Linked DNA regions of Astyanax mexicanus. The protein of the gene in region 2 purifies or fractionates together with the protein of the main gene of each other region. This does not show direct contact. Links are inferred from orthologs where the notes say so. Each region holds a gene or a part of one and is shown on either strand. Other genes may lie near its edges.

Region 1 (7,568 bases), on a different chromosome or scaffold from region 2:
AGGAACAGGGAAACACAGTAAAGAGCACCGCAGCGGACCTTCAGCACCAGAGTGAAGAAATACTGGATTATTTGACCCAATATATAACTGTTCCCCATAAATCACAGCGAGGCTTTGGACTCCTGCAGTCCCCATGCAGCTCCCGGAAAAAAGGACGTCTTTCTTGTGGCTACTGATTCAGTGGAGTGGAGCCACGACCATTCAAAACTAGGTTCGGGGGTTTTTGTTGCCCGAAAGGTTTTTAATTTGTGTGTTTTAATATATTCATTATATGTTATATTGTATTAAAACGTGAGATATAAACGTGAATAATCATAATTTAATAGGAACGGTGAAATATATTATTTTAAATTATATTAAATATCATGCCTCAAAATCTCAGATCTCCCCCTCTTTTCCAGTGACTTTGGTTTCTTCCAAAAGTCTGTTGATGAGAGCACGGGCGGAGCTGGACTGGAGAAACAGGGCCGGTGTTCTGTCGAATTCTGCTACCTTGTCGAACCGTGCTGCCCCAATGTATATTTAACTGTAAAAATACAAAAGAAGCACTGTTTTAGGGCATGTACCCAGTGATATTCCAGTAGATGTACGTTATTAGATTTGGATTGCATAATTCATTGTACCATGGCAAAGTTATAGTAAATATAGCTCATTACAAACTGCTTTTGTATTTATTTATGATAATAAGTGTAAATTTTAGTTTCCATTTACACTTTTGTGCAATGACAGTGCGTCCAGGTTGTTTAATGCACATAAACCCCCCTAATCCAGATTAATTATACATAAAACACGAGAAAGAATTAAATTGTGTAGGTCGGCGCATGCGCAGTACCTTTGGGAAGCATGTATCGATGGGTAGGAAAATTGACAGAACACCGGACTAAAAAAACTGTTCTTAACACACCTTGGGCTGAACAGCTGTATTCACTCAGTCGCAGTTAAATAAACTCACTGGCCATTTAGGAATCACTTAGACCAGAATTATAATAGAATAAACAATAAAATAATAAAATGTTATATAAAATCTAAAAAAAAAAAATCACCAGTGTCAGTGGCTGTCTTTACACTACAAGCCTCAAGTGTTTTTTTATTTTATATAAATTAACCTTTTTGTCAAACAGCACACATGCTCTCAGTATTTTTTGGCTGCTCTGCCAATGCTGGCTGATAATGACAGCACTAAGGGCATGAATACTGGCAAACAGATGCATGAAATCCACAAATAAAGAAATATGAAATTTGCAGTGGCCTTTTTTATGCCCAATCAGTTTGAAGACTGAGAACATATGTCTGCACTCCCCTCCAAAGGAATTGGGCGGAAAAAGCATTATTAAAAGATGAATAATGAAGACTGGGAATTGGAAATCAGTTAATTACAACTTTGTCAGTGTGTCCAGGCCCGGAGTGGCTAATCGAGAGATTCGTGAGGATTCCCGATGGGCCGGCTGTGTCTGCTGTGTACCTTGGGGAAGATGTGGGCAGTTATTAAGGAGTATATCTATGCTGGTGTTTTACCGGAGTCAAGCTATCCGCGCTTCGGAAATTCCTAGTCAAGTCATCCGCGCTTTAATCTTTGATGGGCGTATACGCGCGATTTTACGGTAAACAGACGCGCAGGAGGAGAGCACACACAGAGAAGGGGAGACAGACACGTTTCAATCGGTTAACTTATATTAATTCAGACATACATTAAGCCCAGAAACGAGAAGAAAACGGGTTAAAATAACTCACCTCACTGTAGATTTTGTGCAGTACATTATCTATGTGATATAATACCATAACAATCCCATCGGTTTTTAAGAGAGAGAGAGAGAGTTTTATATTAATATTACTTTTTCAATCCATGCTTCAAATAAAATTTCTCATGAGTTTCCCAAAAGGCCAAAACAGATCCAGTACCTCTTAAAAGAGTCCATCCTAGACTATTACCTCTGCAAATTTGGGCAAATTGCACTGTATTGTTTATTTTATATTAATAAAAAAAATGTATGCATGTTTAAAATTAAATTTCTCATGATTTTTCCATAATGCCAAAACAGATCAATGACCATTTGAAAGAGTACAACATAGGCTATGACTCCTGCAAGTTTTGGCAAATGTCACTGTATTGTTTATTTTATATTCATTTTTTTATTTTTTATTCATGCTTAAAATTAAATTTCTCATGATTTTCCCATAATGCCAAAACAGGTCCACTACCATTTGAAAGAGTCTGTCCTAGGCTATCACCTCTGCACGTTTGGGCAAATTTCACTGTATTGTTTATTGTTTATTTTATATATATATATATATATATATATATATATATATATATATATATATATATATATATATATATATATATATATTTTTTTTTTTTTATTCATGTTTAAAATTAAATTACTCATGATTTTTCCATAATGCCAAAACAGGTCCATGACCATTTGAAAGAGTACAACATAGGCTATGACTCCTGCAAGTTTGGGCAAATTTCACTGTATTGTTTATTTTATATTATATTATTTTTATTTTTTATTCATGTTTAAAATTAAATTACTCATGATTTTCCCATAATGCCAAAACAGGTCCATGGCCATTTGAAAGAGTACAACATAGGCTATGACTCCTGCAAGTTTGGGCAAATTTCACTGTATTGTTTATTTTATATTAATTTTTTTATTTTTTATTCATGCTTAAAATGTAATTTCTCATGATTTACCCATAATGCCAAAACAGGTCCATTACCATTTGAAAGAGTATTTTCTAGCCTATGACTCCTGCAAGTTTGGGCAAATTGCACTGTATTGTTTATTTTATATAATTTTTTTTATTTTTTATTCATGCTTAAAATTAAATTTCTCATGATTTTCCCATAATGCCAAAACAGTTCCACTACAATTTGAAAGAGTCTGTCCTAGGCTATGACCACTGAAATTTTGGGTAGATTTTACTGTATTGTTTATTTTATATTATTATTATTTTTTTAATCCATGCTGTAAATGAAAATTCTCATGATTTTCCAATAATGCCAAAACAAAGAAAACAAAAAGGTCCACTTAACTGTTCCACCATTAAACTGCTCAGCATATTTCTAAACAGTCTAGTCTAGAAATCACCTGTTAAAGACACCTGTGCTAGAAACAGGGGGTGTGAGTTTAAAACCATCACCTTAAATCCAATACCTCAAGTGCAAGGGGCTATCTATAGTGAAACCTGCAGAAATACGCAGTGCTGATAGCCTGAGGAACTGATAGGACTGCCTCACAGTGGCCCTGTGATGGCTTATTGGAGAAAGACTTTACATCTGATACTAGCAAGTATTAAAAATAAACAAAACAGTGAAATTTGCCCAAACCTGCAGAGGTGATAGCCTAGGACAGACTCTTTCAAATGGTACTGGACCTGTTTTCAAGGATTCAAGGAGATTTTACTGTCATTCGTATCACATTTGGTTCATGAGGTGGAACGAAATTGTGATCTCACGATTCAGTTTACACCCAAGAGCTGTTGTTAAAATAGATATATAAATAAAGTAAGACAACAAAATAAAAGAATACAATAAAAATAGAATATAACAAAATGAAGATAAGATAAAATAAACAAAACAGTACAACTTGCCCAAACTTGCAGGAGTCATAGCCTAGGACAGACTCTTTCAAATGGTCATGGATCTGTTTTGGCATTATGGGAAAATCATGAAAAAAAAATATTTTAAGCATAAATAAATTTTTTTTAATTATTATAAAATAATCAATACAGTAAAATTTGCCCAAACTTGCAGAGGTGATAGCCTATGTTGTACTCTTTCAAATGGTCATCGACCTGTTTTGGCATTATGGGAAAATCATGAGAAATTTAATTTTAAGCATGAGTAAAAAATAATAAAAAATTAATATAAAATAAACAATACAGTGAAATTTGCCCAAACTTACAGAGGTGATAGCCTAGGACAGACTCTTTCAAATGGTAGTGGACCTGTTTTGGCATTATGGGAAAATCAGGAGAAATTTAATTTTAAACATGAATAAAAAAGGGAACGCGGTGTGTGTGTGTGTGTGTGTGTGTGTGTGTGTGTGTGTGTGTGTGTGTGTGTGTGTGTGTGTGAGGTGGAGAGAGAGAGTAACGCACAGTGACACAGGATAAGTAACTTTAATCTGATTACTGCATTGGATATAGTAACACGTTAGATTACTCGTTACTGACATCACTGGACATAAGTACGTAAAGACATGTGACGTGGCCAGAAGAACACCTGCGACCGACACCCCAGTTTTAAAATTAATATATTAGGCTTAGCAGGGATGGTTGGCAGGGGCGTAGCAGCAAATTCTGGGCCCTGTACACTCTCAATGTCAGTGGGCCGCTATCCATGCCAGTACACAAGGAACATGAGCGAAAAAAAAAAATCTGGACTTTTCATGGGCCCCTCTCCCTACTTCCTTGATAGTCAGGTCCACTTTTCCTCCCACTACCACGCCCATGTGGAGTGTTACAGACAAGCAGCTCTCCAGCCCAGAAGGTTGATGAACAAACTTGCAGAACAGTAGATCTCAAAACAAGATGAAAGGAGAAAAAATAAACAGAAATGGGATTGAGCCGTAGTGTACTTGTTACTTGACTTCCCACCTCAGGCCAGGAAGAGGACTTTTATTTTGAAGTGTGAGCCGCTGCGTAGGTCTCTGTAGCTAGGGAACCTGCGCAGACCGATTATTTATGGAAGCTAAACTACATGACTGCAACAGAATTAACGTTAGTGTTTTCGGTGTCATTGCGGTTATCTGTTGAGAAATTTAAAACGTTATTTAATTAACTAAAGGTACGCTAAGCTCATTTGTGCAGCTCTGCGGTTTCCATTTCTGAAATCCAGTGGAGAGAACAGCTGCAGTAAAGCTAAACCCTCGGCTAGCTTGCAGGGCTAGCACAACAGCGGCTTCAATATGGAGGAGATCACCAGGACGCCCTCATATCTCGACGAGCCCCCAAATAGTCGGTTGTTTCTTGTTACCAGCAAATCCATCACCGAAGATATAATCCGGGAGCATTTTTCCACTTTCGGAGACATCCAGGACATTTGGGTTGTAAAAGACAAACACACGAAAGAGTCGAAGGGCGTGTCGTTTGTTAAATTCTCCAAGTCTTCTCAAGCATGCACTGCGATGGAGGAGATGCACGGTAGATGCCTGGCTGAAGGAACCAAACCCATTAAGGTGTGAATTTATTTCCATTTGAGTTTTTTTGTTCTCCGTTTTATTGTGGAGCGGTTTGCATTCTATTGTAGCTAGCTTAGCTGAGAAAGCTGTTATGGAAAAGCTCTGTCTCCAGTAGGGCTATTATACGCGATAATACCGATAATATTTTTTAATATCGTGAACGATATTATACCCTGAAATATCGTGCTGTCACCCACCTCTAATTATCACTTTTTATACTACTTTTTTTGCAGTGTTAAGCATATAAAAAATCACACTGTTCTCATTTCCTTTTATGTATCTACTAGAGACGTGTAAGATTGTTTTTTTTTTTTTCTTATTTTAGAATTATTGATCTTAATCAGTCTATAATCACTCTTAATCCGTCTATAATTTCCCCCTTAGTTTACAAAATTAATTAAAAATAAGAACTGGATTCTTGAATCCAAATGTAAGCCAAAAGATCAGTGATATTTGCCCGATTAAAGTCTTACTTCAGTCATTTACGAAACTTTTTGTCTAGTTTTTTTTTTTTTTGCCAATGGATTTTTTACAGTGTAGTCATCTGTTTTTTTTTTTTTTTTTTTTTTTTTGCTTGAACAGGTATTCATTGCCCAGTCCAGGTCTTCTGGAAGCCACAGAGACGTGGAGGATGAAGAGCTGACCAGGATCTTTGTAATGATCCCAAAAACCTTTACTGAAGATGATCTGAAAGAGACTTTTAAGGTACTACCTGGACTAGGGCTGCATCAACATGTGTGTTTGTGACATACACAGCTGATGTTCAGTAATAACACTTTTATTTAATATTTATATAATCCCTAAACTAGAACCACCTAGTGTAGCATTGTGGAGAAATTTTTTAGATTTTTGCTTTTACATGCTTCACACAAAATTGCCATTGCAAAGCACAAGAGTGTGCCCAACTAGAAACAAGACACAGGAGAATAGGGGATAGCTCAAGGGCAGATTTTATCAGCTGCAGTGACAAAGCTACTAGAGCTTGAAAATAAAACGTTTCCTAACAAAAAACATTAAGCAAGAAAACATTGATTTGCCTGGAGTGAAGATAATGGATGGCAATGAAGAAAAGGAAATAATATAATGCACTAAACTAAGAGTAAACCCAAACCTCGGCCCTAAGTATCTGACTAAATTTACAATAAGCAGTGGCAGCCATGTATCTCTTAGTGTCTCTAGACCAAATCTCCAAGGCTCCATAAGCTTCCTAAATAACATAAGTTAAAAAAAACAATGTGGAAACAATATAATAATAAAAAAAATCTACCCCTTCTTCAAACAGCTGCATCTGTCTGTCATTAGGTAGAGTGTTACAGTAAAATAAAATCATAAACATGGCACAAAATAGGAAAACTGAAAGGGAGTGAGCAGAAAAAAACAACCCAACGCTCCGACACGTAACAAGAGGATATGGAACGAGAAAATGAAAGAGTAAAATTAAGAAGTTAATTATAAAAGCCTGGCATCGCTTAAACATCTTGCTCTTCCAGAACACAATAAATCTGTCACTGAATATTTTCACACTTAATCAAACCTTTAGTGTGATTATCTGTCTTATGCACTGTTATTCAATCCCAATAGTAGTAGAAAACATTGTAAAGGCTTATTGAGTGTCTATGCAGGGCAATGATTATTAGGAACACACTCTAGCTCATTTCAGCATTTTAGTGATTTTTTTTTTTTCTTCTTCAATTTACTGATGAGTGGAATCAAGTGTGCTTCAGCAGAATAAAACAGTGTCTAACTCCTACTGAACAGGAATAAATGACCCCTGGTTTCAGTTAGTCTCATTAATATTTTCTGTCAATAATCATATGGCTTTAGATTAATCATAATTGAACACATTTTAACTATAGAAAATTCATCCTCTATTTGCTATTCACTTGTGTGTGTTTGTGTATGGGCTCTGCGTGAAATAAAATCTCAACAGAACTTGTTCTAGATTTTATAGTAAGTTAGTTGTATTTCACAACCATGATGCATTCCATTGTTTTTCCTTTACAGCCCTATGGAGATATCGAGTATGCAATTATTATTAAAAATAAAACTACAGGGGAGAGTAAAGGACTGGGCTATGTGCGGTTTCACAAACCCTCCCAAGCAGCCATGGCTATTGAAAACTGTGACAAAAGTAAGCGGCATGATTATTCTTTTCCTTTACAATTAATCCTGTTATCCTGTTTACGAACGATCCTGTTTAACAATGAAAATTTAATGGACCTTTTTGGATTCATCCAGGTTTTCGAGCCATACTTGCTGAACCTCGGACAAAAAATTCATCTGCCGAGGGAGATTGTCTCACCAGCTCAAGACCGGATCATGTAGCAAGCGAGCAATGCTTAAGTGCCTATTCTTTTGGTAAGTATTTAGCTCATGATA
Region 2 (7,307 bases):
CCTTAAGACTGTGTCGCCACAGCAGCATTTAAGGTGGAATAATAAATTAACAGTATTTAAAGCGGAATAGTAAATTAGCAGCAGTATTAAAGGTGGAATGGTAAATAAATTAGCAGTATATAAGGTGCAATAGTAAATTAGCAAAATATTAGGGGAAATGGTCAATTAGCAGTATTTAAGGTGGAGTAGTAAATTAGCAGTATTTAATATGTAAGGGTAATTTACTAGTATTTAAGGTGGAATAGTAACTTAGCAGAAGCATTAAAGGCACAATAGTAAATTATCAGCAGCATTTAAGGCGGAATGGTAAATTAGCAGCAGCATTTAAGGTGGAATAGTAAATTAGCAGAAGCATTTAAGGCGGAATAGTATATAAATTAGCGGTATTTAAGGCGGAATATAATTCAGCTGCATTTTTTGGTGAAATAGTAAATTAGCGGTATATAAGATGCAAAAGTAACTTTGCAGCAGTATGTAAAGCGGAATTGTAACTTTGCAGCAGCATTTAAGGAGGAATGGTCAATTAGCAGCAGCATTTAAAGCGGAATAGTATATAAATTAGCGGTATTTAAGGTGGAATTCACTCCAACTCACTATTTACACTTATTTGTTTGGAATGTATGATCAATAGACCTCATTAACATTAAATTATACACTATCTTGAGTACAAATAAGCAGAAATTCTGGATTATTTTGACTAATAATTAAAGAAGTCGCTTATGTTTACTCTCCCCCCCGCCTAATTGCCTAATTACCACACACACACACACACACACACACACACACACACACACACACACACACACACACACACACACACACACAGATTCTAATATTAACATGAAAAAAACTCTGATATAAAGCAGAACAAACGCTCAGCGTGCTCATAACTTACAGTATCAGATGAACACGAGCTCCTGTAATTAGCTAAACACAGGTGTGCAGCTCCAGGTGCAGGTCAGATGGAGGGACAACGGCAACAGCCAATCACACGTTAGCAACAAACGGCAGAGCCAATCACAAGGCTCGTGGGCGGTCTAAAGGGAAACAGGCCGTTTCCGCTTGGTCCTAATTCTTTTTTTTATTATTACTATGATTATTTTGTCATTTTTGTATTAATCCACTACTTTTTACATACCCATTGCATTGGGAGTGTCTGTTTAAAAAAAATATATATATATATATATATATTTGATATCGACTTTTTTATTTCATAAGCTATTGCTGAAGGTATTTTTTTAAGTGTTCTAAAAGCTGCTGTTTTTCCCCAGTGCATTGGGCAGGGCTAAACTTCAGTTCCAATGGCTTGTAAACTTTTTTATTTTCTGGTTCATGGTCTATTCCCATGGACAAAATGTCTCAAAAGCTCTATCCGAAAGAGATTTGTTTCTCAGCAGGTTCTGGGGTATTTTTCTCTTTTATGGGGGGTTTATTCATCTGGGACGTTTTTCTCAGACGTCCTCTGAGAAAATTACAGGCTGAATTATCTACTGTTTTTCTCTGAACTCCGTGCTCCTCCGGTAATTTTAGTCCCGTCCGGACGCACATCTCTGAGTTTCGTCTTCTCACGTTTAATACAATAGCTATTTGTCCACTGCCGCGCACCGTAATTACACTTTCGGCACGCCACAGTTTCCACAGAGATCCACATTAAAAACACAACAGTGAGCGGAAATGGAGGAGCTACTGAACAATACTCATGTCATGTGCCGAGAAAAAAAAGCCTAAAAACTTACTGGTCCTCTTGTTTTTTCGATTACAGTCTAAATGCAGGAGTTTTATCACTGTATAAATATATTTTTTCAATATTTTTCACAGACGTCCCCCAGAGAGACTATTCCCGTCCAGATAGGGCTAAAGAGTGTTATGCACCACAGAACATTTTAAGAACAAATGAAAATAGATGCAGTCCATTGTAATGGACGCAGGTTATGAAAGGGTTAATTGGGGGGTAAGACCCCCAAAATCCTCCATCATAACTTGCGCCATGGTTGGTAGCAGTTAACTATTAGTTAATTAATAAAACCACTAGCAATACATGCAAAAACATAAAAGTCTAATAAGATTTACGGTTCTAATGTTATTAAAAAAACATTACTCAACTAATGCATGTCTTATTCACTTCATTCTCTCAGAGTAGTGCAAAGTAAACCTCCTGTTTTTTATTATAATAGATCAAAAATATAAGCAAAAGGATTTTCCAAATAGCATCTATTTTTACCAGACGAAAAAACACTCGAATGCATGTCAATTCGTAATTACGACTCCCAAATTCGTAAGTAGGAATTTCTGAGTAAGACTTGAAGGCATCATTAGTTTCATCCACCCTGCGCTCACAAGTGCTGTAAGCCTTGCTGAACCATACTGTCTTGTATGGATTTTTTCTCTTTTACATCACAATATCTTTATTTTGCTGGCTGCATTTCACAAAACATAAAACTGAAAAGACGTGAAAACTGGAATAAAGGTTGGACTGGTCCTTTAACAGACTTTTATCCCACTAATGTGATGCTAAAGCACCAGGTCAGGGCTCCTCCTCACAACCTGCGTCACTAATAATGGAGCGTTCGATTCACTTTACTGAATCGATTCTCTGGAACTGTATGTTTTAATGAGCCGAATGTCTGATTTAATCAATTTACTGATTCTTAATTCCCAGCCTAGTATGAAGATGATGCATGTAGAGATTCGAGACATATGTTTGAAATAAGTTACCTTAAATATATTTACATTATTTTAATAAGCATATATGCAGATGAAACAATGTTTGGGAAGGCTTTTCCCCCCTTTATTTCATTACTTTATACTTTAATTGCGTATTTATATATATTATTTTATTTGAATTTACAGACAAATCTATACTGGAAAATACTGTAAAATTGTTAAAAATTATACGGCATCTCGCCATCTGTCTGAATACCAGAGGAGACGAAAGAATCCTCCTCTAAAAAGCTTCCAGAGATCCTGGAAATGTTTTAAAGATGTTGGCATTACATCACTCTGGCTACGCCCACAAAACACCTGAGCACCTGACACTTGTGTATGTGTAGAAATAATTCAACTTTATTAAAACACTTATGTGACTGTAGAACATATATATCATTACTTACATATGTTCCACATTTAACAGGATGACCATATATCTGCTGACTGTTTGGAGGTGCAGGAGAAGAGAAGTAGGAAAGGAGGAGGAGAAGAAGAGTAGGAAGGGAGGAGAAGACGAGAAGGAAAGAAACAGGAGAAGAAAAAGAGAAGGTAAGGAAGAGGAGAACTAGGAAAGGAGAAAGGATAAAAAGGATTAGGAAAGGAGGAGAGAAGAAGTAGGAAAAGTATGAAAGGAGGAGGAGAGGAGGAGAAGGAAAGGAGGAGATGAGGAGAAGTAAAGAAGGAAGAATAGGAAAGGGAGAAAGGGAGGAGGAGAGAAGGAAAGGAGAAGGAGTAGGGAAAGAAGAAGGAGAAGAGGAAGAGGAGAAAAGGAGGAGTAGGAAAGGAGGAGGAAAGAAGGATTTGGGAAGGAGGAGGAGAAGAAAGAAAGGAAGAGGAGGTGAGGAGGAGAAAAGGAGAAGCAGGAGGAAAGGAGGAGAAAAGGAAAGGAGGAGAGGAGGAGAAGGAAAGGAAGAGTAGGAAAGGAGAAGGAGGAGATGAGAAGAAGTAAAAGGAGAAGAACATGAGGAGGAGGAGGAGGAGGAGGAGGAGGAAAGGGAGAGTAGCAAAGAAGAAGGAGGAGGGGAGGAGACGGAAAGGTGGAAGAGAGGAGGAGTAAGAAAGAAAAAAGGAGAAGAGGAGTAGGAAAGAAGGAAAAGACAAGAAGAATAGAGGAAGAAAATGAGGAGGAGAAGGAAAGGATGGACTCATAAGAGCCGATTCAGAAGAACCGATTCAAAAGAACCGATTCACAGGAGCCGATTGGACTCGTTCATGCGTCACGGTGCTCCTGTCCCTCTCCCTCTCTCAGACATGGCTCCATAGGACTGCACATGGCGGCCAGCGGCCATGAACCCCCCAAAAAAGAGAAAACACACCAATAACTCACCAAAAAACAGCTAATAACAGCTGTTTATTCACTGATTCATCTCCTCCAGCAATATTCGGCTCAGTCTGTTTCTCCGGTGCAGGAGGAGCAGCAGCAGGAGCTCCTCTCTGCTCCTTTAATCCGGTTTATTCAGCTTTATTTCGCTTTATTTAGGATTTTATTTTTTATTAAAAACGCACTGAATCATCATGGGGGTCCAAGGTTTCCAGGAGTACATCGAGAAGCACTGCCCGAGCGCCGTGGTGCCGGTGGAGCTGCAGAAGCTGGCCCGGGGGAGTCTGGTCGGCGGCGGCAGGCAGAGGCCGCCCCAGTCGCCGCTCCGGCTGCTGGTGGACGCGGAGAACTGCCTGCACCGGCTGTACGGCGGCTTCTACACGGACTGGGTCAGCGGCGGGCAGTGGAACCACATGCTGGGCTACCTGGCCGCCCTGGCTAAAGCCTGCTTCACCGGCAACATCGAGCTGCTGGTCTGCTTTAACGGAGCCCTGGAGAAAGGCCGCCTGCACGAGTGGGTCAAGCGGCAGGTGAACGAGCGGCAGACCGCCCAGCAGATCATCAGCCACGTCCAGAACCGCGGAACCCCGCCGCCCAAGGTCTGGTTCCTGCCCCCGGTCTGCATGGCCCACTGCATCCGCCTGGCGCTGCTCAGATTCCGGATAGGAGTGAGTAGCCTAGCCGCTGTGGAGCCCGGCCTCGCCGGAGGATGTTTATGTGTTTACTAACTTACATCTAAATAACACTTTTTAATTTAACTTTCTTTAGATTTTAGTCTTAAATAAGCACTTTGAGCCTTTTAAAATCTTATGTAAGAGATGACAAAATATACTTTTTTTGGAAAAATCCATAAATCCATTAAAACACCACCTTATACCTGAGCTGGGTTGATTTTTCATAATGTAGGTTTAGAGCCAGGCTCATAAATGCTGACTTGAGACTTAAATTGTGAGTTTTAGTTAGATAAGTTTCAAATCAGGCTTTATGAGCATTTATGATCCATTCACAATCTTTTATATAAGAGATGACTATAAACATCCTTTATAAAAAATCCATCAAAACATCATCTTAGAACTGTGTTGATTTTCCATAATCAGCCCTAAAATATGTAGGTTAGCCAATGTCTCTAGCTTATTATATCTAGCTAACACTTAAATAAACATATTTTTCATAATGTAGGATTAGAGTCATCCCTTATATAAGATTTTCAATGAATCATAAAGGCTTATAAAGGCTGGTTTGAGACTTAAATTGTGAGGTTTTAGCTAGATAATTCTCAAATAAGCCTTTATGATCCATTCAAAATCTTATATAAGAGATGACTCTAAATATACTTCATGAAAAATCCATAAATCCATCAAAACACCAGCCTAGACTATAACTGTGTTGATTTTTTTATATTCTGCCTTAACATATGTAACTAGGTGTATCTAGCTAACATTCACAATTTTAGTCTCAAATCAGAATTTTTAAAGCCTTTTTGGTCCATTTAAAATCTTATATAAGAGATGACAAAATATACTTTTTTTTGGAAAAATCCATAAATACATCAAAACACCAGCTTAGACTATAGCTGTGTTGATTTTTCATAATGTAGGTTTAGAGCCAGGCTCATAAATGCTGATTTGAGACTTAAATTGTGAGTTTTAGTTAGATAAGTTTCAAATCAGGCTTTATGAGCATTTATGATCCATTCACAATCTTTTATATAAGAGATGACTATAAACATCCTTTATAAAAAATCCATCAAAACATCATCTTAGAACTGTGTTGATTTTCCATAATCAGCCCTAAAATATGTAGGTTAGCCAATGTCTCTAGCTTATTATATCTAGCTAACACTTAAATAAACATATTTTTCATAATGTAGGATTAGAGTCATCCCTTATATAAGATTTTCAATGAATCATAAAGGCTGATTTGAGACTTAAATTGTGAGGTTTAGCTAGATAATTCTCAAATAAGCCTTTATTATCCATTCAAAATCTTTTTGTTTTAACACAGCTAAATCTGGACAGTTTTAGTTCTAATCCCATTTTTGGTTGCATTTTACCCAACTAGTTAGTCTGTTTACCATCAAAATACCAGCTGAAACCTGAGCCGTGTTAATTTTTCATAATGTAGATTTACAGTCATTCCTTATATAAAGATTTTAATGGATCATAAAGGCTGATTTGAGACTTAAATTGTTAGTTGTAGCTAGATACGTTTTAAATAAGCCTTTATGAGCCTTTACGATTCATTTAAACCCTTATAGAAGAGATTACCATAAATATACTTTATGAAAAATACATCAAAATACCATTTTAGGCTTGAGCTGGGTTGATTTTTCATGAGTAATCTAAAAAAAATTTAACCTATTTTATGGTAAAAGTCTAAGATGGTATTTTGATGGTCCAAGTGTTTGTTATTCCTGCTTGAACACAGCTGAATCTGCACACTTTTAGTTCTAGACTCTGTTTACCATTAAAAGACAAGCCTAGGCTTGAACTGGATTGATTTTTCATAATGTAGATTTAGAGTTATCCTTTATATAAGGTTTTCAATGGGTCATAAAGGCTCAAAAAGCTGATTTTAGACTTAAATATTGTATTTTAGCTAAATATACTAAGATAATGTGCAGAGAGTCACTAGCTAGGTTTAACCAATGTTCTTTACTCTATCATGGTGGGTTTAGAAGTTAAACTGTGCAAAATCAGGTGTGTTAAAGCCAGAATAACCAACAGTTTAACCATCAGAAGACCAGCTTAGACTTGAGCTGGGTTGATTTTTATGATTAACCTTTAAAATATGTAACTAACTAGGTTAGCCAATGCTTGTAGCTAGTATATCTAGCTAACATTCATGATTTTAGTCTCAAAACAGATTTTCTGAGCCTTTTTGATTCATTGAAAATCTATAAAAGGGATGACCATAATTCTAAGATGCTCTTTTGATGGTGAAAGTGTCGGTTATTCCTGCTTTAACTCACCTGATTTTGCACAATTTAACTTCTAAACCTACCTAGACTTGAGCTGTGTTGATTTTTCATAAATCGTAGGTTTAGAGTCATCCCTTATATAATATTTTCAATGGATCATAAATGCTCAAAAAGGCTGATTTTAGACTTAAATATTGCATTTTAGCAAGATATACTAAGATAATGTACACAGAGTCACTAGCAATGGTTTAAAATGGTTTAGAAAATAAATAAATTGTGCAGAATTAGGTGTGTTAAATTGGGAATTACCAGCACTTTGACCATTAAAAGACCAGCTTAGACTTGAGCTGTGTTGATTTT

Evidence for each region. Proteins that work in one complex are often made in the same cells at the same time.
Region 1: the proteins of constitutive coactivator of PPAR-gamma-like protein 1 (region 2) and rbm45 purify together in Homo sapiens (co-immunoprecipitation; 3 studies listed by BioGRID and IntAct, with this or other methods). This does not show direct contact. The link is inferred for Astyanax mexicanus from reciprocal best matches to the Homo sapiens genes FAM120A and RBM45.

The regions. Positions count from the first base shown.
Region 1 is NC_064418.1:32,369,524-32,377,091, forward strand, and holds the start of rbm45 (RNA-binding protein 45), read left to right. Parts: upstream 1-4,503; 5' UTR 4,504-4,916; coding exon 4,917-5,186; intron 5,187-5,771; coding exon 5,772-5,894; intron 5,895-7,193; coding exon 7,194-7,320; intron 7,321-7,427; coding exon 7,428-7,547; intron 7,548-7,568. UniProt on the Homo sapiens protein: RNA-binding protein with binding specificity for poly(C). May play an important role in neural development.
Region 2 is NC_064431.1:32,841,274-32,848,580, forward strand, and holds the start of constitutive coactivator of PPAR-gamma-like protein 1, read left to right. Parts: upstream 1-4,221; coding exon 4,222-4,695; intron 4,696-7,307. UniProt on the Homo sapiens protein: Component of the oxidative stress-induced survival signaling. May regulate the activation of SRC family protein kinases. May act as a scaffolding protein enabling SRC family protein kinases to phosphorylate and activate PI3-kinase.